4 linked regions of the Cricetulus griseus genome follow. The protein of the gene in region 1 binds, or shares a complex with, the protein of each later gene. Links are inferred from orthologs where the notes say so. Each region holds a gene or a part of one and is shown in the gene's direction. Other genes may lie near its edges. The genes, in order: Casp8, interferon-inducible protein AIM2, Ripk1 and Zbp1.

The links.
Region 2: Casp8 (region 1) and interferon-inducible protein AIM2 share a complex: the UniProt entries of both Homo sapiens proteins name them as parts of the AIM2 PANoptosome complex. The link is inferred for Cricetulus griseus from reciprocal best matches to the Homo sapiens genes CASP8 and AIM2.
Region 3: Casp8 (region 1) and Ripk1 share a complex: the UniProt entries of both Homo sapiens proteins name them as parts of the AIM2 PANoptosome complex. The link is inferred for Cricetulus griseus from reciprocal best matches to the Homo sapiens genes CASP8 and RIPK1.
Region 4: Casp8 (region 1) and Zbp1 share a complex: the UniProt entries of both Homo sapiens proteins name them as parts of the AIM2 PANoptosome complex. The link is inferred for Cricetulus griseus from reciprocal best matches to the Homo sapiens genes CASP8 and ZBP1.

Annotation. Positions count from the first base shown.
Region 1 is NC_048595.1:413,127,204-413,134,103, forward strand, and holds part of Casp8 (caspase-8), read left to right. Parts: intron 1-2,007; coding exon 2,008-2,146; intron 2,147-2,226; coding exon 2,227-2,277; intron 2,278-3,795; coding exon 3,796-3,860; intron 3,861-5,698; coding exon 5,699-5,840; intron 5,841-6,900. UniProt on the Homo sapiens protein: Thiol protease that plays a key role in programmed cell death by acting as a molecular switch for apoptosis, necroptosis and pyroptosis, and is required to prevent tissue damage during embryonic development and adulthood.
Region 2 is NC_048598.1:19,570,644-19,578,090, reverse strand, and holds the start of interferon-inducible protein AIM2, read left to right. Parts: upstream 1-3,233; 5' UTR 3,234-3,382; intron 3,383-4,314; exon of another isoform or gene 4,315-4,333; intron 4,334-7,447. UniProt on the Homo sapiens protein: Sensor component of the AIM2 inflammasome, which mediates inflammasome activation in response to the presence of double-stranded DNA (dsDNA) in the cytosol, leading to subsequent pyroptosis.
Region 3 is NC_048596.1:253,841,312-253,848,994, forward strand, and holds the start of Ripk1 (receptor-interacting serine/threonine-protein kinase 1), read left to right. Parts: upstream 1-2,802; 5' UTR 2,803-2,940; intron 2,941-3,077; exon of another isoform or gene 3,078-3,232; intron 3,233-6,819; exon of another isoform or gene 6,820-6,944; intron 6,945-7,683. UniProt on the Homo sapiens protein: Serine-threonine kinase which is a key regulator of TNF-mediated apoptosis, necroptosis and inflammatory pathways.
Region 4 is NC_048599.1:6,097,333-6,104,700, forward strand, and holds the start of Zbp1 (Z-DNA-binding protein 1), read left to right. Parts: upstream 1-2,714; 5' UTR 2,715-2,846; intron 2,847-3,059; 5' UTR 3,060-3,220; coding exon 3,221-3,260; intron 3,261-4,967; coding exon 4,968-5,204; intron 5,205-6,107; coding exon 6,108-6,296; intron 6,297-7,368.

The DNA of each region.
Region 1 (6,900 bases):
TGGCTTTGATGCCTTGACACTGTAAAGTGCTACTACTCAGCCATGGGGCAGACCCAGGAGACAGAGTAGGCAAGTTGGGCAGTGCCACAATACATGGGACCAAGCAGGGCCAGGGAGGAAATGCAGCCTGGGGTCACATCTTCCTCACCTCTGCTGCTTTTGAAATGTCACGTTTGCTTGTTTGTTTGTTCCCCCAGTGTGTGGTATGTGTCTTTATGAGTAGGTTGTATGATGTATGTGTCTGTGTCTACATGCTGTGTATATTGTGTGTGTGCTTCTTTTTTCTTCTAATACATTATTTAATATCTTACTATGTTACCTCTCTCTAATATACTCAGTGCCTCAGTGACAATAATGTCATCCAGGCCCCCACAGGAACTACAGTGGGGAAATGAATACACAGTTTGCCTATAATAAGCCCACTCCAACTTCCCTTCTGTTTTTAGGTTTCCTTTTTATTAATTTTTTTACATTCCAATCCCAGTTCCCTCTCCTTCCTCTCCTCCCGGGCACCTCCCATCTGCTCCTCAGACAGGGTAAGGCCTCCCCTAGGAAGTCTACTAAGTCTGTCTCATCATCTCACTGAGGTGGGATCAAGGCACCACCTACCCGCTTCCCTGTGTCTAGGTTAAGCAAGGAATCTCTCCATATAGAACGGCTCTACTAAGTCAGTTTGTACATTAGAGTTAGATCTTGGATCACTGCCAGTGGCCTCATATACTGTCCCAGTCACACCATTGTCAGGGAGTCTAGTTCAGTCTTATGCAGGTTCCCCATTTGTCAGACCTGAATCAGTGATCTCTCACTAGCTCGGGTCAGCTGATTCTGTGGGTTTCCCCATCATGGTCTTGACTCCTTTGTTCATATTATAGCTCCTCCCTCACTCGAGGAGCTTGGCCCAATGGTTAGTTGTGGATTTCTGCATCTGCTTCCATCTGTTTCTGGAAGAGGGTTCTAGCTTCTCTGGCGTTGTGGATTGTAGGCTGGGTATCTTTTGCTTTATGTCTGGTATCCACTTATGAGTGAGTACACACTACATTTGTCTTTCTGGGTCTGGGTTACCTCACTCAGGATTATTTCATACCATTGAGTAGTACTCCATTGTGTAAATGTACCACCTTTTCTTTATCCATTCTTCAGTTGAGAGACATCTATGTTGTTTCCAAGATCTGGCTATTATGAATAAGGTTGCTATGAACGTGTGTGTGTGTGTTGTGTGTGTGTGTGTGTGTGTGTGTGTGTGTGTGTGTGTGTGTGTGTGTGTTTGTGTTTGTGTGTGCTTCTTATGTATATGTGTGGCATATGTACCTGTGTGTGTGGTGTATACCTCTGCGTCTCTGTTGGTCTGAGTCTACCTATGTGTAGTACATATGTGTATGGGTTTCTCCCCACCCCACCCCCCGGTGTGTGTGTGTGTGTGTGTGTGTGTGTGTGTGTGTGTGTGTGTGTGTGTGCTTTTGTGTGCTGTGTGGTGTATTGTAATTCTGATGTTTGCTTTGTCCAAGTGTATCTTTGTACATTTGTTTAGTGTGGGTGCATACGAGCGCACATGAACACGTGTGTACATGCTCATGGCCTCTCTGTGTGTGTTTGGTGCCCTGCACATGTCTCTCTCTCTGTATGTGCATTCGCTGAGGTTTAGAGGTGGATAAGGCAATGCCAGAGTATAATGCAGTCTCCAGGGCTGTTCTTCCCACACTCCTCCAGGCTGGTCCATAGATGAAGGCTTCCACAGATAGTTTGGGAACAAGGCCTGGGGACTGGTGACATCTGACATGGCTTCTCTTTTTTTTCTATGTTTTTATCCTTTTAGGCCAGAAAACACAGAATGGCCTTCCTGATTACTGTCAACTTTGAGGGATCAGTATGTGCTCAGGGGTGGGAGGGCGATCTCTGTGGGAAATAAGACTGGGCTCTTGCTTTGGAAGAAGTGGAATTAAGGAAACAAAAACCTAGTTCCCAGGCCTGAGCACTCAATCCATTTGTCCCTTGCTCTCTCCTCCCCAGAGCCTGCTTGATATTTTTGTGGAAATGGAGAAGAGAGTCATCCTGAGGGAAGAAAACTTGGATGCCCTGAAATCAATCTGTGCCCAGGTCAACAAGAGCCTGCTGGAGAAGATTGAGGCTTATGAAAAATCAAGCAGAGGTAGACAGCTGATGGTTATGAGGCGGCAAAGCCTCCAGAGCCACAGCTGTTTCTGATCTAGCTCTTCCTTTTGAATGCAGGGAGAATGAGCCTTGAAGGAGGGGCAGAGTCGCCAGTTTCAGTTTTAGATGGTAAGACTTCCAGATTCATTTCTTTGATGCCGAGGCACTTAATTCCCTCTTACTCTCTTCCCACCACCTTCTGCCATAGCCTAATATCAGGATGAAAGTTTGGTGGTCACTTGTCACCCCTGCGGCTCTCTGGGAGATAAAAAGAATTTGCAAAAGCCCTATGGGAACATTTGAAATGAGCACAGTTATTCTACAAGTGGGTCTTAAATCTGTTCTGGCTGTGTCTTCTTTTCCTTTGAGATGTGGGTAGCTAGATTCAAATAATTTTCCAGAATATTCTTGTGTTTTGATTTGTTTGAGACAGCCTTGGCTGTCTTGGAACTCTCTACGTAGACTAGGCTGTCCTTGAAATCACAGAAACTGGCCTGCCTCAAGTGCTAGGGTGAAAGGCATGTGCCATATCACACCTGACTTTTTTTTCCCAGAACATTCTTGATCAAAGCTTTTGGCTTTGGGAGAGGCCCTTTGGCCAAGTGTTCATAGTTCTTCTCTGTTAAGTCCAGGCTCCCACTGCCCCTGAATTCCTCCACCATGTGGCTGCCCCAGCCTGGGATGCTCCAGCCATATTCCCTGCCTTGACTACTGAGCTGTCTCTCCAGCCCCCTCCAAATTTTTTATTAATCAAATATTCTGACTATAAAAATCATATGTGTTCCCTTGGGGGTGATTCTTAATTTTAGAGAAAATGTGAACAGCACCACCAGTCTGTAAACATTAATACTGGTAATAGCCTTCTTATGTTTTCACTATTGTTTTTGCTGTGTAATACATTTTGGAGCACTCTGCTTATTTACTTTAAGTTCACATGTAAGTGCATGTGGGTGAGTGAGTTTATGCACTCCACATTTATGCAGAAGCCTGGCTATGTCAGAAGGCAGCATCAGATCCCCTGGAAATGGAGTTGCGGTGCTTGTGACTGTGAGTGCTTGGAATCTCTGGCCCTCTGCAAAGAGTGACAAGCTCTCTTCCACTCAAGGATCACCCTCCTTTAGAAATGAGGCCAAGTACCAGCCAGTTCTTCCCTCTATTCATGCCTACCTGAGCCCAGCAATTTCCGAGTACCTTTGGAAAGTTTGAGTCAGGGACTGACTCATACTGACCTCTTGCTTTGATCAGACCCACCGCACAAACAAGGCAGTTTGCACTTGGGTTTCCAGAAGCATGCTAAATGCCCTTCCTACAAGATCTACACATATGAAATATCCTCAAGGCAGTTTCAATGATTATTTTTAAAAGGACCGGCCTGTGGGGGCCGGTGACTTACATTAGTAGGTAAAAGTGCTACTTTCAGGCCCAGTGAAAGGGGAAGGAGGGAACCAACTCCTCAAAGTCCTCTTTGATCCCCACACATGAGTGCTCCCTACATCAGGCATGTGTGCGTGAATGTTCATATGCATGCATGCATGCACGCAAGTATGTTGACATGAAATGTTTTAAGGTCCTTAGGTTGTCCCAAGCGTTACATATTTCTTTACCGCCAAGCCCCTCATTCTGGATACTTTTCTTGGTTGCTTGCAGGGGAGAGTTACTTCAGAATGCAGGAAACGTGGGACTCCCAAAGAGAACAAGACAGCGACTCACAGGTACACCTCCTTGCTCTCTCTGCATGGAAGTTTCTGTCTCTTGTGTTTGTTAGCTCCTTTTAAGCTTCCAGATAAGCTAATAAGGGGGTGGAGCCTTTTGGAAATTTTGAGAACTCTGAGGAAGAAAAACCTACAAAAGAACCAGTTTTTTTTTTTTTTTTTTGGTGTTAAATTATGTATCACTATTATCTCTGTTCAGTTTGTTTGTATTCTGAGACCGGGTCTCCTATAGCTCAGACTGGCCTTGAACTCATTATGTACCTGAGGATGACCTTGAACTCCTGATTTCCCTGACTTTACTTCCCAAGTGCTGGGATTATAGGTATGGGTCACCACATAGGCTCTAATTTTATTATAAGGCACAGGAATTGTTGGAAGGTAGAAAGTGTGTGAGGCCTCCCTCTTGTTCTAGCAGCTGTGTCAGCTAAAATGAGTGCTTGTGGGGGAGGGGGTGAGGCTTCGAGAACAATGGCTGCTTTGGTGGGGGTGGGGTGGGGTGGGGGAGTTGCTCTAGCAGGCTTCTCTTTTAGCCTGACATTGCAGAGGGATCCCCCCTTTGTGTTAGGCAACAAACAGGATCTCAGCAAGTCTTAGTTTTCATCTCAGGGAAGCCTGTAGAAAGATTTCCTTCCTAGACGTAGCTTCTATTTATAGTCTTCAATAATTCACCGATTACAGTTCAGCCCATTAGCCTCCTCCCCGTGGCAGGAAGCACGAAGCGTCTGGACACTTTGAGAAAGGATATGCACTAGGGTGGCCTTCTGAGAAGATTCTCAGGCCTTGTTCTCAGGTCCAGAAATCAAGAATTAGTCAACATCATATGTTACTTTGAGATGGTCTGGCACTCTACAGTATTGTCCTCTCCAAACAGCTAAATATATCATGTGAATATCTTATTAACTGCCTGTATTACAATATCCCAATAAATCTACTTAATATAAATAGGAGATACTTAGGATAATAACAAATACTGAATATACCCTGTGTTTAATAAAGTACCTTATGTCACAGAAAACATTGAAAAGTGAAGGATTTGTACAATATGAAGAGGAGCTCAGTGTGCTATAAATTGTTAAACACTAGATTAGCTAAATTGCCCAGAGTCCTAAGGTTTTAAGCCTTAGAAGCTGGCTTTTGTCCCCTAGTCTTGGGTTCTTTTCTGTATACTTCAGGAGACAGCACGGACTTCCAACTAAATACTGGGACTCTCAGCTTGAAACAGCCCTAAGAGAAAAACAAGTATTCAGGCCCTCTGGTGTTTACTGTCAGGATTCCATAAACACAACTTGAGTAGTTCCTTGCTCTCCACCTGCTGCCCAGTTCCTTTGCAGTGGCTTAAGGCATCAGCTTTAACCAGAGAGACTGCACTATATCATGTGCGAAGGGCAAGTCCCTCGCTGTTAGCCAAGAAAGGCAGATGAGCTGAGTAGACCCCAGAAAGATTGCCAAGGTCATGGAGGGCCGTCCCAAGAGGTCACCGTTGAGTGAACTCTTAAAGTCCCACATGTTATCTGGCCTGAAGCTCTTCTGGATGCTGAGGGAAGCTGAAGCAAGCACAGTGGTAACAAACTGTGATAATATCAGGGATGTATGTGACATCTGGGGCACTTAGCAGGCCCAGGTCCCCTTACTGTACAGCTCATGAGAGGCTGTGCAATCGGAGGAGCAGAAAGTAGCTTTTCAACAAGATGACCCCAAATCTGGCTGGAGTAACGGAAGGAAGCAATGCTTCCCAGGGGAGCTAGGCAGGGGTCTAGCCTCTTCCTGGGCAGTTGTTACTTACAGGCTGGTATCTGAGCTACAGCGTCAGCTCCCCAGACTCGGCTTTTGTTTTCCAGGTATCACACAGAATTTACCAAATGAAGAGCAAACCTCGGGGATACTGTCTGATCATCAACAATAATGATTTCAGTGAGGCGAGGAAGAACATACCCAGATTCCACAAAATGAAGGACAGAAAAGGAACAAACTACGATGAAGGTACAGCCAAATCCAAAGAAGAGGCATGAATAATTTTTAATTCCTGTGGTGCTTTTAAAAAGAAGAGACAATAGTCCTAAAGGGCCCTATATTTTGAGAAATGGAGTCATGGTTCAAGAAAATCTATCAAGCATTTATTTTTATTCATTTTATTACTATTTCCTTGTGGAGGTAAAAGAACATTCTTACATATCTGTTCTGAGTTTTGTAATTAGGTTTAAAATCAAAGTAATATATACATTGTGATAAAATGACAACTCTTACTAAAAACTTTGTAATGAAGAGCATGAGTGAACTTTAGAAATTTTTAAGTTTTATTTCACTTTTTATTCATGTGTATATGCCTCTATGTGAGTATGCCCATGTGTGTGTGGATGCCCCTAGAGTCCAGAAGAGAACATCAGGTCCCCCTGGAGCAGGAGCTGGGAACTGAACCTGGGTCCTCTGCAAGAACTCTTCACCGTTGAGCCATCTCCCCTGCCCTGAGTTTTCCTTTTAACTCACTAAATGAAAAGTGTTTCTGTAGAATGAATTAGTCCAAAAAATTGCTGTGGTATCAGAGTAACTGCAGGGATTTTGCTCATAAAAGTTATTCCATTGCAGCAGGAGTTGTGAGTGCCCAACAAAATGCTAAACTATCCAGAAATGTTTGGAGCAGCCTATCAATAATTCATAATATAAGAATATAAAAAATGGGGGCTGGAGAGATGGCTCAGTGATTAAGAGCACTGGCTGCTCTTCTGGAGGACTCAGGTTCCCAGCACCCACATGGCAGTTCATGGTTGTCTGTAACTCTAGCTCCAGGTGATCTGATACCTTCACAGACATACCTGCAGGCAAAACCCCAATGCATTTGAAATTAAAAAAATAAAAAGAATTATTTAAAAATAATTAAAATGACAATAACTAAAAATATTAATAGAAATCATCCAAACCAGCCGTTTGAACTTATGAGCCAAGATATCAGTTAATGACTTCTTTCTTAAACTGAGTAAAGTTTGGAAAGTTAGTGTAGACTGACCATACTCATCGGGACATGTAATGATCTCTGTTTCCATGT
Region 2 (7,447 bases), on another chromosome or scaffold:
CTGGCACTCATCCATTGTTCCCATTCATTTGTGAAGCAACTCTCACTAAGGTAAGAAAAAAGCAACTTGATAGCCAAATCCAGTCCTGTTTTGTTCCCTCTCTCTCTCTCTCTCTCTCTCTCTCTCTCTCTCTCTCTCTCTCTCTCTCTCTCTCTCTCTCTTGCAACTTTTAAAAGACATATCCAGGACACTCTGTGGCAGAGAGAATAAGGATGGCCCCCATAGGCTCATCTATTCTAATGCTTACTCATCGGGAAGGATTAGGAGGTCTTGTTGGAGAAGGTATGTCACTGGGAGTAAGGTTTGAGGTTTCAAAAGCCCAAGCCAGGCCCATTGGCACTCTCTTCCTGTTGCTTGCAGATGTAGATATAGAACTCTAAGCTACTTCTCCAGCACCATGTATGCCTGCATGCCACCATGCTCCCAGCCGTGGCAATAATGAACTAATCCCTGAAACTGTAAGCCAGCTCCAATGAAATGTTTTGTTCTATATGAGTTGCCATAGTCATGGTGTCTCTTCATCCGAATAGAACACGGATGAAAACACTTCCCCCGCCCCCCATATTTTAGCATTTTCTCCTAGTAGCATCCAAAGACACAATTTCAGTCTTACTACTGTTTGTGACCATGGAAATCTAGAAGTGCAGGTCTCTTAAGGCAGAATTGGTTACTTTATTGGCTTTACTGGATCTTTTACTGCCAGTTTTGAGGCTGTAGTTCTGAGTTCTACTAATACAGTCTCTTCCCTTTGTCTGGCAGGTCAGTTTCCCTCCTCCACTTTCATCGCTTTATGTGATATGATTTTCTGTCTTTTCCATCTTGCTGTCTGATGATATTATTAATCTAGTTCCTTATACTTGGGATATTTCCTCAGCTTTGACTGGAATTCCTTCCGGTCTCTTATATAATTGCATTTATCATGCATTCTAAGATCCACAGTAGATGTTTGAAATCACATGCAACAAAGAATTATATTTTGTCCTATTCCTACAACCAATGAGGTAAAGTTTAATGCATAAACTTGGTATAATAAGAGATTACCAACAACCATTAATCATAAAGTAGAATAATGAAAACAATGCAGTTAGTAATAACATAAGACAACTGTATGGTCCAGAGAATGAGCTGTGATAAATGCATTTTCAGTTTTGAATGAGTAAGTTATTAAATACATAAAAGTAAAAATAAAATAAAAAACAACAGTGAGGTGGTAAAGCATCATCCAAATGGAAAGTCAAGACACTAAGCAGATATAGGCTGGGGAAGCCCCTTTAGGGCAGTCATTTGAAGTTTCCAATAAAGAGAGTCCTGGGCAAAGCAGAACTTCAGTGAGGTTTCCAAATAAGGAACAAATAGTGCCAGTAAGAGAAAACTTCATCAAACCGGATGCTTAGAACACCCAGCAGAAATCAACCCAGGAAGTTAAGGCAGCTAACTTTCTCTCCATGGCTGAACGTCTGGATTCTCTTTCATTTGGTTGACCCTTAAATGTCATGGATAAAAATCTGTTGGAAATACTTGACCTGGTTGTTTTTAAGAACACCACATTTTTATTCTTGGGCTGTTTTGTCCTCCCTGTCACACTGAGTTGGAGGCGGGAGACTAGATACACCCAGATAAGAAACCTTTGAGACAAACATGCTGGGGTCTAAAGTGGCAGGAGAACAACCCCACTTTCAGAGCCAGCCTAGCAGGGAGTTCAAATCAAGCCTGGCATTTCCCAAATGTGTGCATTGGCCTGGTTTTGTCTCTTAGACTGTGAACTGCCTAGTGTTAACAGGAAACAAAAGAAGAGGTTTTGGCTTACATGAAGTTCCCAGTATCTAAAATATCTCTGGCTGAGATCTCACGGCAGTAGGAGAAATGCTGCAGAGGCTTGTTGGAAAAAGGAAACTGAAAACATGTGCTTGTTTGGGCACAGCCTCAAGATGTCATAACTATCGTGCCTCCTATCAGCAGGGCTCGGAACTCAGCTACACGGCCAGGGCTAGGGAAGTTTCTAAGTGAAAGGAACCAATCACACTTTCCACTTTCCATCTCTCAAGACCTGATTTTCATGTCCTACCACTAGCAGTGAAAAGCTTTGTGAGGGAGAGCTTTAAACTATTAGGGCATATACTAATCCCTGAGTTGAGAACTGAGGCTGCTGTGGAGAGGGAATCCAGTAGGTAAGCCTTGTCAGAATTTTTCTAGAAAAAGCTTTAGGATCCTTTTGCTAATAGCAAATTAAGAGGAAATGGAAGTTGTAGGTTTCTGGGGTTGGAAAGGAGCATCAGTATTGACTATGCTCCAGAAAAGAATAAAGCTGCAGGAAGCCTGGTTCTAAACCTTCGCTTGACTGAGGAATAGAAGCTTTTTTTTTTTATTATTATTATTATTTCACCACAACTGAGCCTTTAACAAAAGAACATGCAGTTGGCTGTGGCAGGAATTAGAATATATTGTTCAGAGGGTTGACCCAGACTGCGCCTAAAAAGGAACTCTGATTTTCTGGGAGCCTTGGTCTGTAGGTGTCTTACTGACATGAATTTAATTTATATTTGGAAGAGGGCCTTTGATTTCTAGCTGAAGGAGAAAGAAACATAGGGACTGGAGAGCTATTCCTAGATAAAAGATAGTAACAATGGTGTGGCAGAATGCCTATGATGTAACATTAGCTTGAAAGTGGCAGAGCACCAAACTCTATTATAAGTAACCTTACCATTTAAGAAAAGCCAAGTATAGCCCAGAGGTGGTGGCCCACGCCTTTAATCCCAGCACTTGGGAGGCAGAGGCAGGTGGATGTCTGCAAGTCTGTTGCCAGCCTGGTCTACATATAGTAAGTTCCAGGACAGACTCCAAAGCTACACAGAGAAGCCCTGTCTTGAAAAACCAAAACAAACAAACAAACAAACAAACAACAAAAACAAAACAAAAAAGAAATGCTAAACAGATAACATATTCCATAATCTCAGATGTTCAAGTGGCATGGCATTTATTATTTTTTAAAAATTATGTATGCTTTTTAATTTCTATTTCTTTTAGTTTATTAAGTATGAGAAACAATTTTTAAGTTTCTATAATTTAAATTGTATCTTATTTTTCCTTTTCATAGTAAATTCCTAGAATTTAGAAAGCGATGATTCATATGATAACTATGTTGTTTGAATATACAACTGGCGGTTCGGAAGGTTCTGGTAGTGTTAGGAGGTGGAACTTTCTGAAGAAACCTTATTGGATGAAGTGTACCACTGGGACAGGCTGTCTCACTCTTCCGCTATTTCCTGTATGAGCAAGAACTGAAATTGGCCAGATTCATGCCCTACGTGGCGACCAACCATAATGCCTTCCCTGTCGGCTGCTACGCCTTCCCTGTGGTGTTGAAATCCACGCTCCTGGGACTGTGAGTAAAAATAAACCCACTCCTTCCCTGTGTTGCTTTTGGCTGTCACATTTTATTAGAATACAAAGGAAAACAGTTCGCTGATAACCTTTGTAGACTTATTGAAAATGTGCTAAGTACTTCTAAGTATTTATCAGGACATTATGTTGTTCAACTTTTCTACTTTTTTGCTTTTTTTGGCTATGTGAAACTTTAGTTACTGAAGGAAGTGTTTTGTAATTTCCAACTATCAGAGTAGGTTTGTCATTTGTTCGTGGAGAACTGTCAAGTTTTGCTTAGAGCTGTTAATTTTAACAATGAGGTGCATACGTGCTTAGAATTTCTATGTTGCCTTGGTGACTTTAATGTTTAATCATTGTATAGCAGCTCTGTCCTTAATGACACTATTTGTCTTATTATCTTCTCTGACGAATATTAATATAACTGACCTAACTGTTTTTTTTTTTTTGTGCTTAGTGTCTGACTCATACATATGCTCACATTCTTTGCTTTCCTGTTATTCAGTATTATAATACCCTCAGTGTGTCTTTTGTAAACACCATAATGCCTACAGTGGGTTTTAATCCACCTAGCATTCTTTTTAAAGCTGGGAGTCTAATTTCTGTGAATTCTGTCCTTTGAAATGCTTGGATTTTTGTGTGACCGTCTTTCCTATGGTATTTCCCATCCATGTTTGCTTTCTTCTTTTTAAAAAATATGCTCAAGAGTATTTACGCAGTGATGTGTATTATGCTGGTCATGTTTTCATAAGTCCCATGTTATAAATTTTGTGGGGACAAGTCATTTTTCATTAGTCAAGAATAATGCCTTTTTCATAGGTGTGGACTTTGGGAGCCCAATCCACATAGAGGAATTCTCCCTGAGCCAAGACCCACAGGGGTGGGCCTAGGCCCTATCCCAAAGGATATGGAACGCCTCACCCTCCTGGGGAGGAGAAAGGATATGAGATAGGTAGGGTTTTGGTTGGGGGGATGGTAGGGGAGGAGGGGAGGGAGAGGAAACTGGGATTGACATGTAAAACAATCTTGTTTCTAATTAAAAAAAAGAATAATGCCTTTTTGAGATAGCTTTTGGAGAAATCATGTAAGATCAAGTTTACTACTTCAGTGAAGTGAACTTGCATACAGTTAGCTAAAGGGAACAATCCAGTTCCGTTAGTACTGTGTACCTTCCCCTGAATCTAGAAACACTGCTTCTATTCATCTCTGTAATTCATAGGTTGCTTCAATGTTACCTTCTCAAAGAGACGTAGTGTGACCACCTAATCTGAGTCTTACCACATACCCCCAGCCCACATCCTTATTGCATACTATCTACTATGTAAATTTACACTTTTCAGAATAATAATGAAGAAATCTTACCTGATTGGTGACTGATTTCCTCAAAGACTTGCAAGGTGCCTGACTGGACAGAATGAGCTGATGTGTGAACAACTGCTTGATTTACTAGTTTATTTCATAAGTGCTGATTTTTTTTTTTGTATTTCTTTAGAAAGGAATTTTAGATGGTTTTGCACCGTAGGGGTTGGCTGTTTAGTCACAGACAAGTTTGCAAGGAAAGTAGCGCAGAGTGAAGGTCCTTAGGGATACTCCCATGAAGCAACTGTATGTTCTGGGCGTGGGGGAAGCGTGGCCCATCCTGCTGCAGTGGGTCTCAAAGGAGGGCATATTGGCATAGGCATGGCACTGTGTGGCTTATAGAGCTCTATCTGCCATGCTGCTTATTAAATCCTCACATTTATCTCCTATTATCTACATTTAACTGATGGGGAACCAACCCCATCAGATAAATACAAATCAGGCAGTGTCAGAGCACATTACTCTCCTGGCTTGGTGCCACATTTTTTTTTTTTTTTTTTTTTTTTTACTGGAGTGCTTTTCTAAATTAAATCTGGACACCCACCTGTTAGCTGTGGGTTTTAGAGATTCTTAAGAAGGTGATTAAGAAGAGACTCTTAAGCAACGGCAAGCAGTGACCTGAAGTGGAGCAGCTCATCGTGAGGACAGGCTTTAGGCATCTGCCGTCCATCTAGAATCTAACGGGAAGGAATGGACATTTGCTGCAAGACTTTCCTAAGAAGGAGACAAATTCTGACATTTAAGTCTCTTGCAGTTTCTTGCTCTCCCCATAGCATGATAAATATAAACTTCAAACTATAATAATAGCATATGTTGAGCACACCAGGTGTCAGGGATGCTTCATGGATTGCCTGCTTATGAAATCAGTCACATCTCACGTGGAGTCTATGCAGTAGGGACTGTCAGGCAGGGCTTCATCAAAGAACTAGAAAACGCCTTTGATTCCCATCTTAGAGCTAGAAAAGGAAAGACATGGAATTCTAACCCAAGTATTCTCTGTACCAGGAAAGTAGAGACCAATAGAAATATAAACAAGTACATACATTTAACTTTTCTTTTTTTTTCTATTAGTTCAAATTAAGAACAAGCTTGTTTCACATGTCAATCCCTTCTTCTTCTCCCCCCCCCCAACATCCCAGCTGCCCCTAGCCATCCCCCCATCTCTCCCCAGGCAGGGTAAGGCCCTCAAAAGGGCTCCCCAACATTTAACTTTTCTAGTAGCTACATTAAAAACAAAAACAAATAACATCAACCCAATATGTTTGATTAACATCAAAAGTACCCAAAATGTGTCCTATGTCTTCAAAACTCTGGTGTGTATTCTGTTCTCAGAGTTCATCAATTCTGATGATAAATTTTCATCTATATTTAAATTTATATTTATATATACTCAAAATTCACAAAATTTACAGTTAAAAAGTAAGCTTATATATTCAAGTAATTTTAATCATACTGATTTTCTAGAAACTGAATTTAGTTTATGTTTTAATTAAAATTAAATGCAATATAAAATTCAGTCCTCTCAGCTGCACACTTAAAATGTTTGAGAACCACGTGAAGCTACTGTAAGCAAAGCAAGGTACTCTGGATTCAAGCCTGTTTTCTATTTGTTTATTAATTGATTTATTGATTAATTTCTGAAGTGCATTGTGTGATATGTGTATTCATGTGTGTGTGTGTGTGTGTTTATGTGTGTGTGTGTGTGTGTGTGTGTGTGAGTGTGTGTGTGTGTGTGTGTGTGTGTGTGTGTGTGTGTGTGTGTGTGTGTGTGTGTGTATGCTAGAGGTCAAGGTTTCGTGTCTTCCTTAATTGCTCTCCATCTTATTTTTTGAGGCAGGGTCTCTTCTGAACCTGGAGTTCAATGATTTAGTTAGGAATGCTAGCCAGAGAAGTCCAGGGATCTACCCATCTCTGCCTTCCCAGGTCTGGAACTGCAATGTGTTATGCATGCCCAGCTTTTAACTTGGGTGCTGGGAATCCAAATTCATCTCCTCACACGTGAATGCCAGGCAGGTTACTGACAAAATCACCTTCCCCAAGCCCTGTAATTCACACTCTACTTCAGTTACAGAAGAAAAGCACTCTCATCTCCTGCCCCAACTGCCCAGTCCTGGAGCAGTTTCTTTCCACCCCATAATATCAGCACTATCTCTTCATATTCTGTTTTAACACACAACTATGTGACCCTGCACAGATCCTAATGTCTTCTTGGAGAGAGGTGAAACGTTTTGCAAAAGAAAACAAAAACAAACTGCAGATAAGAAAAGTCAAGATGAGAGAGAGGAATATATATATATATATATATATATATATATATATATACCTCCCAGAGGAAAACAGTAGCCAGAACAGATTTTTCTACCAGACCACTGGGATTAATGAGGTTTCAAACTAGCTTCTGAAATTAGTCTTGAAATCCTCCACATCCTTTTTTTGTTGGTATGACTGATTTGGGGAAAGAGAAATGATACACAAGAAATTGGAGAGAGGCAAAAACAGTTAAAAATTCTCTTGATGCTTGGGTTTGTCCTTTGGGGAGTAGACTGAAGTAAAAATGAGAATAGAGCCAACCCTGCTGGACAATGTTAAGAAAAGGAATCAGTTGTGAGCCTTTTTTCCTCTCTTACATTCTGGTCAGAGCTGAGCACTAATTTAAAAATAGACACAGAGATTATTTTGGTCATTTTATTCCTGTATGCATGCCATG
Region 3 (7,683 bases), on another chromosome or scaffold:
CAGGCAGTGGTGGCGCACACCTTTAATCCCAGCACTCAGGAGGCAGAAGCAGGCAGATTTCTGAGTTTGAGGAGAGCCTGGTTTACAGAGATAGTTCCATGACAGCCAGGGCTACACAAAGAAATCCTGTCTCACAAAAACAAACAAAAAAGATAGTACAAGTCAATGAACCTGAAAATAGAAGAGAAAATGAAACCCTAACTTAAGAGATCAGCAACTTTGTTAAATCCCTAGAAAGACAAAGCAAAAAAAGGAGAAGAGAGGGATATCAATTTAATAGTACCTCCTTATTCGTGGGGTATACATCTCAAGTAGCCTAGTTAATGCTTGATACCTCAGGTAGTACAGAACTATTCTCTCTCTCTCTCTCAAGTTAACTGATTGTTAAGTTAGGTCTAGTTAGATGTTAACAGTAATAAAACCTGACAACACATCGTAAAGGCACATCATCAGCTCCTCTAATTCTGAGCTCTCAAGTTTTAAGAATGAACCATTACCAGCAACATGAGGTCTTCAGCTTATAGACCCACATGACACTTTTCAGTCTCTATAATTCATAGTCTTGTTACCCCAAAAAAAGAAAAACAAAATCTTCTCCCATCTTCCTATCCTCATTGCTTTACATCTTTTTGGTTCTGCATCTGTGGAGTAGAAAGAGCAGTGCATGCCATGACAGGTATGCATGGGACTGTAGTCAGATGAAATAGTTTCAGTCTGTAAACAAAAAAGAAAGAAAGAAAGAAAATTCCTTATGCTTTACTTGTATATCATTTCCCTGCAAACTCTTGACAACCACTGGCTTTGTAGAATCTCCAAAGATTTCCCTCATTGAGGATGTCATATTTGAAATCACATTGTGTAGTTTTTTTTTTTTTTTAAGATTGATTTCTTACTTAGGAATATACAAAAAACAAACAAACAAAAAAACAAAAACACTGAATTCTTTCATTCTAGAATTCATTCTAGTGCCAAATAGTATTCCATTTACTATAGCTATTGAAAAGTAACTCATTTGCTTTCAAGTTTTGGCAATTATGAAAAGCTGCCACAAAAATTCAGACACAGAACTGGGAGAGATGGTTCAGTGGTTGTTCTTACAGAGGACTTGGATTTCAGTCTCAGCAGTCACATGGTGACTTAGTCATCCCTAACTCCAGTTCCAGGGGGTCCAATGCCCTCCTCTGACCTCCCTGGGCACTCAAGTGGTGCACAAACATGCAATCAAGATACGAAAACATATAAAATAAACATTTAAAAAATTAATCCAGATACAGGGGCTGGAGATATGAGTCAGCTGTTAAAAGCACATACTGCTCTTACAGTAGACCCCTTTAGTTCCCAGACCCTCATTGGACAGCTCACCTGTAACTCCGGCTCCAGGGGACCTGATGCCTCCCGGAGAATCTGACTCAGGTATGCACACTCAAAAACATAAAAAAGTCTTAGAGCAAAATCAAACACACAACTTGAGTACAGGGACCTGGGGAATACAGCTCAGGGCTCCTTCAGCAAGCAGGCAAACATAATGGATCTGAATTCAAATCCCTGGAACCTGTGTTAAAAAAAAAAAAAAAAAAAAAAAAAAAACCCTGGCCATGGTGACACTCATGATGCCAAGACCAGAGATGCAAAGACAGGCAGGTTCTTGAGGCTCACTAACCAGAATACTTAGCCTACTACACAAACGAAAGGTAAGTGAGTCCTTTCCTGTTTTAAAAAAAAAAAAAAAAAAAAAAAAAAAAAAAAAAAAAAAAGAGGTGTGTACTTAGAGGGAGATACTGGAGGTAGTCTTCTGGCCTTCACATATGCGCACTTTTGCACACACACCCTCAAGCCCCTCCAAATAAACAACAAAAAAGCTCAACCTAGGTACATGTGTTTGTTCATCAAATTTATGTTCACTTGGGTACATGCCAGTGTGTGAAACTGCTAAGTCACACAGTAACCGTAAAGGTAACATTCTGTATTCCTTCCATTTGTGAATGTTGGGCATTTTATGTTTACTTTGAGTCAAAGGTGAGTTTCCCATAATGCCCTATGACATTGAACATCTTTTTAATGTTATCTGCATGTTTAGGTTTCTGTTAAAATGGTTGTGAATTTTCTTAAGATGGTGGTTGTGTGCATGCATTAGTAAGACTTCTTTATCATGTCTTTTGTAATCCTCTCTCTTTCCACTAATTATCTTTTGAGAATAAGTGATCATTGCATTATCGTGCAACTTAATGACACCAGTAATAACACTTTTTGTTTTTTTTGGCCTTGAGATTTCACAATTACCATTTCAGAGGGCTACAAAATAATCACATTTCGTCCTCCACAGCCCGCCGTGGCAGATGAAGGCTCATTTGCCAGCTCTCAATCGCCACTGTCGCACTCGGTGTTTTCCAGCTGGCCAGGGTGACTCAGCCCTGACAGAGCAGCTAGGAGCACCTCTTTTCAAGGGCTCTCTCAGAACGAGCCGAAAAGCAAAGCAGAACTGGCATCGTTTCCGCGGGCAGGCCTCCGGGATCGACGTGGGAACCGTCGTGATCGGCGGAACTCACTGCCCAGCGGGCCCTGCCGCACTCACCGCCCCGGGGCGTGAGCAGAGGCGGAGACAGAGGCGGACGCAGCCTAGCGCCGCCCCACCCAGCGAAGCTCCGGTGTAGGAGGACGAGCGGACCCGGAGAGGCGTCGCGAGCGCGGGTGTCGGTGCCGCTCACCTCGCGGGGGTCGCAGGGCCGCGCGGGCGCTCAGAGAAGCGCGGTGTCCGGTGAGCCTGGGCGCGGCTGGGCGCCACTCCTGCACCGAGCTCGGTCCCTGCGTCCTCCGCACGGCCCAGGAGCCGTCCTGGCTGGGCAGCCACGGCGAGGCGCAGCTCCTGTCGCCCCTGCCCTCGGGTCGGTGTGCTCACCTGGGCCGGAGTGCCTGGCCGCGGAAAAGGAAAGTAACTCTGAGGTAAGGCAGCGCGGAGGCCGCGGCAGGGTCCGCCGCTCATTTCCTCCGCAGCTGGCTTCCCGGAAGGGGCGGCGACCGCGGGATTCCAGCGCGTGGGCCGGAGGGCGGGCCTCGTTTTCCGGAAGCGGGTGATGGGCGGGGCCGCCAGCATACCCGGAAGTCGAAAGGCGCGGGAGTTGCTGGGTGTCATCTAGCGGGAGGTTGAACTCTTTTTGAGGTGGTTTTAGCTCAAGTCGCGACAGAAAGTGGACATCTGCGCCGTGACCACGGTTGTGGAGTGACAGTGCGACAGGTGTTTCTCTTTCACTATTCTTTTGGTAGGGGTGATGGGTTATGGAAGCGTTAGTGCTCTAACAAGGTTGCCTAAATGTTTTGGACCTGCCAACCACGTTGTACTTCGGCCGCAGGGGGTTGCAGAGCTATGGGTAGCTTTCATCATTATCTCAGAGGTGAGCTAGCAAATGAGGAGCGATCCACGTCCTCAGTGAGAGAACAGTGTCAAACGTCCAAGGCTCCTCTGGTCCTCAGTGGCGTTTGCTTTTGTGGATTGCTGCAGCCCCCTCTGGGTTCTGAAGAAGATAAGCCACATCCTCTCCACCGGTGTTGGACAGAGCCTCCTGGGGTTGGATGGTTCGGTCCAGGGTGGCTCATTCTTTGCCTCTTGTAGGTCATTTTGATTTCCTTGCTCATTTATTTGGGGCAGAGTGAGGCTGTTTTAATCAGGAAATTCCACAAAAGTCCTTCAATCTTTAGAAAGCTATTAATTCTTTCTTAGCTCATGAAAACTCAATGGCAGTGTGAACTTTGAGATGTAATGATTTAGTCGTGTAATTTTGTACCCACTGGGAAGACACCACTAAGGCTTTGCTGTATATAAAAAATGAAGACTAGTTTTGTTTAAAATGAAACTTATTTTGTTTTATTACTGAAAAGTAGCAGTAACAGTTACCAACTTTAATTTTCATTTTTCTCTTTCTTTCCTGTTTTGAGCCTTGTACATAATGTTAAGTTTTCATGACTGTTGCAAACTGGGAATGGTTCTACTACTTATTAGTTCATAACATGTTAATATCACCAGTAGAATCTTGGAATTGAATCAAAAAGTATAGTTTCCCACACTTTGGTTGGATATTATTCTGGCATATGTGTCTTACTGTGAAGACATGGATAATATTAATTTTGTGTGTTTTGTTTTTCAAGACAGGGGTTTCTCTGTGTAGCCCTCGCTATCCTGGTTCTCCCTCTGTAAACCAGGTTGGCCTCAAACTTAGAACTCTGAGATCCATCCACCTGCCTCTGTCTCTCAGTCCTGGGATTAAAGGTGTGCACCACCACGCCAGCTGAGACAGGGTTTCTTTATGTAATTCTTATTATTCTAAAGCTAACTATGTAGAAGACCAGACTGGCTTTGAATTCCCAGAAATCTGCCTGCCTCTGCCTCCTTAGTGCTGGTATTAAAGGCATGTATCACTGTGCCTGGCAACAATTCGGTCTTTGCATCTGAGGTTTGATCTACATCTGGGGTTTTCAAATTTTTATTTGACTTTCTAGAAAGCAGCATGTATTAGAGAACTGAGAGTGGAAGTCTGAGAAGGGTAAGGTTTGAATCCATTCATTTCAGGTGAATCACTTAACCTCAACTTGTAGTTTCTTTATTTGTAAGGTGAAAATAGTCCTAATAAGATTAGTTCACGGGTCACAGTGTGCTAATGTATTTGATCATGCTTCATTGAATTTTATTCTAACTTTGTCTTTTGTTGATGGTTTGATTCCTTGTTCATTGCCCTGCTTGTGGACGAAGCACAGACTGTTTTAATTAAAGAATCCTGGAGATGGCTCCTGATCGTGTCACATACCTGAGTAAAGTCAGAATTCTGTTAGGGAAGACATGGGAAACAATACTCAATTGATATTCTCTCATTCCCTGATTCTCTGTCCTCCTGCTCTTATTATATATGATTGTCATTGCAAATTTAAGAGAAAATTAATTGGGTTTAAAGGGAGTCCAGCCATTGGGGGGGGGTTTGTATACACACACACACACACACACACACACACACACACACACACACACATTTCCTGAGGTAAGGTCTCACTGTGTAGTCCTAACTGACCTTGAATTCACTAAGTAAGCTTGAACTCAAATAGTGTATATTTACTATTTATATAATTTATAAATAGTACTATATTTATAATATAGTAAATAAATAAATACTATATATTTTCAAATGTAATACTATTTAATATATATATATATATATATATATATATATCCTATTTCTGCATTAATAATCATTTATCCCAAAACACTAGCAAATCCCATTGAAAAGGACATGGTATTAGTTGAAATTAGTTATGGCTTTCTATAACAGGTCAACATACCTTAGTTAATTTTTAAAGCACTGATTATCTGGCTTTCTACCTTACATTCAGTGTTTTTGCAGTCCTTGGGTCTTCCTCAGTACACTGCCCACATGGCTTTCTCAAAATACACTGCTTATAAGTTGACTGGGGCTCATCAGCACAGCACTTGACTGGCATGTGTGTGGCCCTGGGTTCTGTCTCCAGCCTGCCAGAAAACAGCAGCATAAACTTGAATCATTCAAGGGGAAAAAAATAAAAGCACGAAAGAAATAATTGAATATCCACCAAAGGAGGATTTGTGCTAAGATCAGACTAGACTAATAAAGCACAAGACTAGAGGAAAAACTGGCTTAGATCCAGAACCATGTTCCCAAAGCATAGTAGAGGCCTTCCCTAGCCCCGCCTTCTTCCCTAGCTCCACCTTCCCTAGCCCTGCCTTTTCCCTAGCTCCACCTTCCCTAGCTCTGCCTTCTTCCCTAGTTCCACACCACTGGAGGCTCTAGAGAGAAATTTCAGGAGGCCTGGCTAGGTAGGAGAGATAAGCCAGTGAGAACTATAAAGGTGAAATCATTACACTTGAATTGGCATATTTTGGGACATGGTTGTAGTTTATTTGCTGTGAGCGTGTGTGTGTGTGTGTGTGTGTGTGTGTGTGTGTGTGTGTGTGTGTGTGTGTGAATTTTTCTAGATAGGGTTTTTCTAGTTCTGACTGTCCTGGAACTCACTATGTAGACCAGGCAGGCCTGGAACTCATAGATCAGCCTCTTGAGTGCTGGAAATAAAGGCATGCACCACCACCATCCAGCAAGAATTTTGCATGGTTTATTTACCAATTTATTTCTTTTTTCTTTCTTTCTTTCTTTTTTTAAGCCTACAGCACCCAGTATTCTTAGGCAGTTCCTTTTTGTGTGTTCTTAAACATTCTTTTTTTCCCATGTGTATGTGTGTTTTACCTACATATATGTATGTGCACCACATGTGTGCTTGGTAACTGTGAAGGCTCAGATCCCCTACAAGTAGAGTTTCAGTGGTTGTGAACTGCCACATGGATGCTGAGAATCAAAACGAGGTCCTCTGCAAAAACAGCAAGCACCCTTACCAAATAAGTCATCTCTCCTCAAACATCTCTTTTTGCTTTTTTTCTTTCTGAGACAGGATCTCACTGTGTATCTCTGACTGGTCTGGAGCTCACTAAGCTTGAACTCAAATGGAATTAAAGAGTATACCACCCACACCCATAAAACATTTTCCTCCTGCCTCACATTTGAAAGATGTTAGCTGTATTTCAGAGCATGATGAGTTAGTTCTAACAGCTCTTTTGTGCATACAAATTGCTGTATATGCCTTTGCTGCTCTGTGTAACATTACTAGGAATATAATTTCTCAGTGTCTCAGGTTTGATTCCTCAAAATAAACAGCTACTGAGTTAAGGTGTGATTCTTTCAAAATATAATTTTGTTATGAATGCAATTTGTGTTTATTCTAGAAAATGTAATATAAAAAAGTATAAAGAAGAGCTACTAGCATGGTGAGCTACAGTTATAATCCCAGCACTCCAGAAGCTGCGGCAAGAGGATCACAAATCTCAAGCAAACCTAGGCACACTGGCTGAACAAAAGTACAGTGTAAATCAAATGCTGGTGAATATTTTGGTGTCTTTCCCTATGCCTTTTTTTCCTCTATGAAACTGCCATATAATCTATTTTAAAAATAATTTCAAATCTGTTTAACTGTATCCTTTATTCTTTAACAACTAAATAATTGTTTCAAAATTTTTAGCTATTAAACAGTTCTTTACCACATGCTTGGTTCTGTGAGGCACTGGGGACAGTGACCAAGCAGGTTTTTTTCTTTTGCCTCTGTAAACTTCATTAGAAACAGTTTTAAAATAACTGTTTGAGGAGAGAAGTCCAGCTCTGTAAATATCTCAACAGGAAGTCTTTAAATGCCCCCCCTCCCTGCAGGAAATGAAAGCGCATGGACACCTGGCAGACCAGCAGCCTCTAGTCTTCCCGACTAGGACTTAAAATAACGTGGCTGGGGAGAGGGACACATCGAGAGAAGGGGAAGACTTGACAGGTCCACATGCCCTAGAGCATCTGTAGGAAATGAAGAATCAGGCTTAGTTAATGTTTACACCTCTGTCTTCCCTCTATCCCATCTTCATTCTCATAGATTGTCAGTAGGGACTCACTGTGTCATTTCAATTCAATGTATAAGTCGTAGTCAAACATGTAAGCCAGTAGCTCACTGGGGCCATCTTTTACTTCAGAGAGAATGTTACCTTGGGGATAGCAGAGCCCTCAGAAACAGCCTTTACTTCGATGGGAGATGACCATTTTAGTTCCACCTCTTCTCATTAAAGACATCGTGTTGGAA
Region 4 (7,368 bases), on another chromosome or scaffold:
TAAAATAATTTTTCTTTAACAGTCTTTCTGGGGCCTGTGGAGATGGCTCAGTTGTAAAGTGTCCACTGTACAAGCATAAAGACCTGAGTTCAAGTCCCCAATCCCCACATAAAAGCCAAATGTCTACAGCTCCAGCACTCCAGCGGTAGGGTTGGCACAATCTGGAGATCTTGGGGCTTGCTGGCTAGTGTCTGGCCAAATCAGAGAGGCAGCTGGGGGCAGTGACAAAAAGCAAGCAGCCTGTACCATGTCCTGAGCTCTCTGAAGGAACCTCGGATGCAGCCAGTACTGGGTTAAGAACTGTGGTATCCCACTGCCAAAGGGAAACTAACACGCATAAAGATCAGGGCCGTGTTCAAGGCCCGGGCTGAGAAGAGATGCCCAAGCGTGCTAGCCTCCAGTGGACAGAGTAACACTGAGACCCACTGATTGCTCTGTCTTGCAGGACGCCCACCCCCAGGGATTTGAAGAGGGGGCTCATCACCCCAACACACCTGCCATAAACTATCCCCTTGCTGTCACCAGCTATGTCTGACCTCTGACCAAACAAAGTTTGCAGCCTGCCTTCCTTTCTTCCTTTCTTCCTTCCTTCCTTTCTTCCTATCTTCCTTCCTTCCTTCCTTCCTTCCTTCCTTCCTTCCTTCCTTCCTTCCTTGCTTCCTTCCAGAGCCTGGTTATGGGGAGGGAAGGAGGTGGGTTTTGCCAACACAATATGTGGTAAAAATATCTCTCTTTTAAAAGAGAGATCACAAAACCTGAAGACTCGAGATCAGTAACATGTAATTATCCCCTGCTTTGGGCGGAGAGTTCTAATAGTTTCTAGAAAAACATGAGCCATTTGGAAGGAGCGTGCTCTCCAGGATAAAGAGAGCAGCTTGGCATGCCATTTGTATGTCTGGGCCCTTCCTAGCCTGGAGGAGGAAGCACCTACCTGCTTTCTTTCCTTTCTTCCCTCCTTCCCTCCCTCCCTCCCTCCCTCCTTCCCTCCCCATTGGCCTTGAACCCCATCAGACTCAGAGTAGCATCTGCTAGAGAAAGAAGCTGGGAAATGCTGGGTGGGGCAGGAGACGGCCTCCATGCAGAGGAAGAGCCTTGAGTTGACAAGGACACCTAGGTCTCTGCCAACATCTGTTGCGATAGATATTGCTGTGATCTGAAGTAGTGTTTGGGGCCTGCAGGATGTGATCTTTAAAGGGAGATGTCCATGGTGCTTGTTGAGTTTTTCCGGCTGTGATAAACACTATGACAGAAACAAACAAAACCCAGCTGGAGAGGAAAGGGTTTATTTCTGCGTACAGTTCACAGCCCATCTCAGAAAGAAGAGCTGTGAGAACCCGAAACAAAGATCGTTGAGGATGTTGCTTCCTGGCTCATGCTCAACCAGCTTTTTATTCACAGCCTAGGAATGATGCTGCCCACGGTGTTCTGGGTCCTCTCACACCAACCGTGATAATTCTCTCACAGACACATCCACAGCCAATCAGACCTGGGCAACCCTGCAACCGAGACTCCCTCAGATGGCCCTGTACTCAGCTGCCTGCTGAAACTGCCTAGGATACCCGTCCTTTGCTCCTTCCTGCCAGAAGGAGAGCATGTGTGACAGGTGGAACTCCAGCAACCCTTGAAAAACTTAAGCACAGAGGCTACAAATGGCAGAGCAACAGTTTAAAAAGAAGCCGGGTGGCTGCACCAAATCTGGAGTACCTGGAGTCTTGTGTCATGCACAAGAGGGAAAAGGTCCATCTGCCCAGTCCACAGCTGTGGAGGCTTGGGATAATCCCAGCATTGAAAATTGGCTTGAGGTTTTTCTTAAACAAAGACAAAGAATAAGAAATAATCCAAAAGTTTAGAAGGATTTTGGCCAGGCAATGGTGGAGCACGCCTTTAATCCCAGCCCTCGGGAGGCAGAGGCAGGCGGATCTCGGTGAGTTCCAGGCCAACCTGGTCTACAGAGCGAGTTCCAGGATAGGCAGGGCTACACAGTGAAACCTTGTCTGGGGGGACGAGGTGGGGGGTTGTCCAAGAGGTATTGTGATACAGTCCTGCCACTCAAGAAATGATAATGGAGGGGTCAAGAATCTGAATTCAGGCTTGGCTACAGAGTGGGACCCTGTCTCAAAAATTAAAAACAATAAAGAATAGGGAATGCTGAGATGTTCACAGCAGAACCCCAGTGTCAGGTTCTCATGGCATGTCCTGAAGCCCAGCCCTCTAGGGCCAGAGCCACCTTGGCCAAGGACCAAGCAAGACCCCCAGGCAAGAGCCGGTTGATGAGAGGGCACCACCTAGTGGTTGGTCCCCAAATAGCCCCTCTAGGGAGCCTGATGTCCCTCAACTGGCTCAGCTGAGTGTTTAAAGGGTGACCTTATTTATTTGGGGGGCTCAACGGGCTGTACAATTTTCTGTTTCCCTTAGCTGCATCTGCAGGCTCTGGGTTTCCCCCTGGAAGTCATAAAAATCATTTGGAAATTTTAAAGTTTCCCCATGCACAGGCCGGTGGAACTGGCTGTGTGGAACTGGCCTGGCCGTGGCCTGTCCAGTGACAAGGCTGACTGGGGACCTGCAGCTTGCTTTGCAGACATTTTGCAGGTACATATATACCTCCTTCTGGTCTCCATTTCCTGCTCCTGTCATGCCCTATGCACTAATGCTAACCGGTGCCAAGGACCTCCCTCCTGCAGCTGGGACCCAGATTCAGGGTTATTGTAGGCTGAGTTGTGGGCACGAGGCCATCTCTGTGAGCTCAGTCCCTTAGTCTGTAATTGGAACAGAGTGATGTCCGAACTGTTCGAGGACCACTGACCTCTTTGAGAATGTATGAAAGTGAGGGGCTCCTTTTCTAGAAGGTATGTGGATGACAGTACTAGTCCTGCCCTGTCAGCAAGTAGGGAATGCGCAGTAGGTACCTTTTTCCTAGTGGGAGTCCAGATAGGCAGTTCCCACCCCAGAGGCCAAGACTCCTCTCATCCCCGTCATTTATTCAGCTCCAACTTGCTCACCCCACCCTGATTTCAACGTTTCTTTCGAGAACCACCAAGTTTCATTTTCTCTTTCTCCAGAAAGCTGGGTGGATGGAGCCAGATGGGTGCTCGTTTCCGGGGTGGAAACATATGGTGTCTGCAGCTCCAAGAAGCCGCTCTTCTTCTGTGGACACGGCCTCAGGCCTGGCCACAGTTCGGGAATCTGCCACCCCCCGCCCCAAAGGTGCCCTGAGGTTGCCATGAGCATGGCAGAAGCTGCTGTTGATCCGAGCACAGGAGGTAAGCCGGGCGAGCCTCTTCCTTCCCCCACGCAGCGTGGACCCTGGGCTGGTTTCTAAGGCTCCTTCTAATTCTTTGCTTGGCCCAGACAGCAGCAATATTCTGAGGACATCAGAGCTCAGGAAGCAGGCACCACAAGAAGCTAGCTTGCTTCGGGGACCCTGTGCGTCACACTTTGACCCTTGCTTAGGCTGGTTCCTAACAGCCCTCAGGCACAAGTGGTAGCTCTCACCTCACAGACAGGTCACTGAGGCCTTCGATGGGCTTCAGGCTCTGAACTGTGAGAGGGGACTTTGTTTTGATAAGAAGATTTGGCTCTGATTCTATGTTCATGCTCTTCTCTCCGCTACAGGGCAGTGCGAGGCTGTGGGTGAAAGACTGTATGAGGCGAGGCTATCGGGGCCGTGCAGCTGTGGACAGGATTTACTTTACTGCTTTTCTTCATTGTTTCGAAACTTTTTTTAAAGATATGCTTATTTACTGTGTATACAGTGTTTTGCCTGAATGCACGGCTGTGCTCTGGTCAAAGAAGCACCAGGTCTCATTCTAGGTGATTGTGAGCCGCTCCGTGGTTCCCGGGAGCCACACTCAGCACCTCTGGAAGGGCAGCCACTGCTCTTAACTCCTGAGCCATCTCTGCAGCCCCCAAAGTCACCCTTTTCCATTCTCGCACCATGCTAGGGCATGTTGCTCAAAGGCAGAGGAGCCAGGGCAGTGGCAGGTTCAGGGCCAGGTGGAGAAGACCAGAAACTAACCCTCACCTGGTCCCTGTGGCTTCCTAATACTCTCCTTGCCAGCCAGTCACCACCATCCATTCCTTCATGCTCACCCTTTGGAGAAAGCTCTGCCTGTGTGCCCTTAGGAGTCAGTGGGAGAAGGGAGGGCAGGAGAGCCCACTGCAGGACATACACGCCCCAGCAGAGAAAAAGCAAGCAGAGTGGAAGCCCAGCCCTATAATCCCAGCAGGGGAGGGGGTGGCTGAGGCAGGAGGATTGCTGTGAGTTCCAGGCCAGCCTGAGATATATGGTGAGACCTTGTCTCAAGAGGAAAAACAAAGGAAGGTAGAAGCAGGCAGATGGAAGGAACCAGAAGGAGCACGAGGTGGAACTTGGGTGGCTCTTGGGGTCAGGCGCAGAGGAGGCTGGGCAGGGAGCAGAGGTCCATCGGATCTCTAGGTAGAGGGTGCTGGAGGGAACCATTCTGGAGTTGGTGGTCACCTGGGAGACTAGTAATGCTACCAGGAAGATGTCATTGAGGCTGGGGTAAGGGAGAAAAAAGTAAGTGGGAGGTATCTGAGCTGCGTTTTCAGGGCTCCTGATCCACCTGGAATGGGAAGGGAGACCTAGGAATGCCCATGGCATCCATGGGAGATGGAGAGAAAGGGACTCTCCATACAGGCTGGAAGAGGCACCAGGCAGCGTGGAGGGGCTTCCGGGCCAGGCTTGGCTCCATCATCTGAGAGCTGAGGGCTCCTACCTGTCTGGGGTTCCACACCAATACACAGGACAGCATGTACACTCCTCTGCCGTATGAGTGCATCCCACCATTCAGCCATGGGGCCAGGGTCCACTCAGTCTGACACTCTTGCCTCTCAGTGATTCCTCGATGCTGTCGGCTCTGGGTTCTCGTATCTTTCTTACCTCTGGAGATGGGTGCTAGCCTCCAATGGGGGCTGGGCTTGACTCTTCTCTCTGTTCCTCCCCCAAGACAATCTGGAGCAAACGATCCTACAGATACTGAGTGGAGCCGGCGGCTCTGTGAAGCTCCCCAAGCTGGTAAAGGAGTGCCAAGTGCCCAAGAAAACACTCAACCAAGTCCTTTACCGCCTAAAGAAGGAGGGAAAAGTTCACTCACCAGCCCCTGCCACATGGTGTTTAGGCAGGGATGCTCCTGGAGATGAGGCTCCTGCAATCCCTGAGGACCCCACTGCCCAGCCCACCCTCGGTAATCTGTCATTTGGGGGCACAGCAGACTCCCCTCAAGGGCCATCTTGACAATGGGCAAGTCCAGGTTCAGGCTTGGCTTTCAAATCTGAGCTCTGCCATCCTCTCTTTATCTTTTGATTTCTTTTCACCAATAGGGCTTGTACGTGGTAGGTGTGAGGTAGACACTAGCAATAGTAAAGGCACAATCCAGGCAATTGTCACAATGACAGTAGGGATTCACTCGGAGCCACTGAGCAGAGAGGGCTCACAGCTCCATTGCTGATGCTGTACCCAAGGCCACCTAGCCTTCAGCAACTCCTGCAGTTGGAGCCAGGAGAGGAGGCAGCCTCAAGACCCTGCCCTTCTGCAGCCAGCAGCTGTGACCCAAGCAGATGTGAAACCCTGGGACCCCAGCCTAATGTCCTGTCCCCTAGCTGTCCTGTGGAAGTGTTCCCGTTGCTCAGTGGATCAGAGCGTCTCCTGTCTCCAATGGACACATTTTTCTTCCTCCAGCCCCAAGACCCTAAAGTTGTAGGCACAACTCCAGGGAGTCCTGGCCTTCAGCTCAGTGCACACCAAAGGCCTCCCCAAACTACTCTTAGGGGCACAAGGGGAAAGGGTGTTTGGGATCATGTCCACCACCGAGGCTTCGCAAGAATCTCAGAGGCCAGACTCGGTGTCAGAAGCCAAAGGCTCCAAATGGATAAGAAGTGCTTTATTTTCCAGGCGCTGACACGCCTGAGCCAGCTTCATGCACATATCCGGTCTCCAGGTGACACTGTACCCAGTAGGAGCATGGGCCTCAAACAAAGCAAGACCATGCCCCTGGGCTTCATAAGCGCCCCAGGTTACAGCCAGTGGGTGCTGGGCAGACGCAAGCCCAGGGCCCTCTTCCTACTGAACGCCTGCCCCTCACTTGCAGATGAAAGAATCATCAGATTCCTGGAGACCAGCGGGCCTCACAGGGCCCTGCACATCGCCAAGGCTCTGGGGATGAAGACAGCCAAAGAGGTGAACCCACACCTGTACGCCATGAGGAACAGGCACCTCCTGAGCTATGATGGGAACACATGGATGATCTACGACTCAAGTCGGAGAGGTCAAGAGCTAGGTATGAGAGGTCAAAGTCAGTTTGGGGAGGTCAGGGGTCAGGGCGGATGGCCTAGGGTCAAGTTGGGAAGTTCAAAGTTCAGGTCAGGAAGGTCAAAGATCAGGATCGGGCCATCTAGGGTCAGGCTGAAAAAGTTAAGGGTAAAGATTGAATGGCCTAGGGTCAGATTTTGTTTTATTTTGTTTTTAGATTTATGTATTTTATGTGTTATAAGTGTTTGCCTGTGAGTGTGTGTATACACCACATACATGCGGTGGCAGCAGAGGCCAGAGGAGGGAAATTGGAGTGACAGGTGGCTGCGAGCCCCCATGTGGGAGTGCTAGAACCTCTGGAAGAGCAGCCAGTGCTCTAACCACTTGGCCACCTCTCCAGCCTTAGGGTCAGATTTTACCGATACTCTTTTGGGAGGGGTTCCAGGAGGGAGGGATGCTGGCAGGCTTAAAGAGGGAGTGCCACCCAGCTTGCTGGCCTTGGCTGGCACAGGCCTGCCTGCCTCACTCAATGCCCATAGGGTTTCTGGCTATTGGAGGAAGAGTGATGATGAGGACAGCAGCTGGATTTCAAACACAGGGTCACATCCAAATGGTAATAAAGTCAGGGGGACCCAACAAATATATGAGACTTCTTTTAGTCACTGCTGAGGGACAGGAGCTCTGCAGGGATCAGAGAGCTGCAGATGCAGGAAGTCTGGAGAAAGTGGCACACTGGAATTGCTCAGCCTGGACACAGGGGGCAGCCTGTGAGCATTTTGTACAGCTATGATGATGCAGAGCTCTTAGCTCAGCACTCAGAAGACAAAGGGAAGAGAGTTACAAGTTCAAGGCTAGACTGAACTAAAAAAAAAAAAAACAACATACAAAATCCAAATTGATAAATAAGTAAATGAAGTTGTTTGAAGGGGGTGCTGGGCTGGGCTTGCAAAGTAGAAGCCTGGAGACCCCAGGCTTCCCTTCCATAGGTGCAGTGGTAATAAGTCTGAGCCCTGGTGCTCTCAGGGACCCCCCAGCATGTTCTTTTTAAATGTCTGACATTTTTCTTGCATGGTAGTCTCACTGTGTAGCCCTGCCTGTCC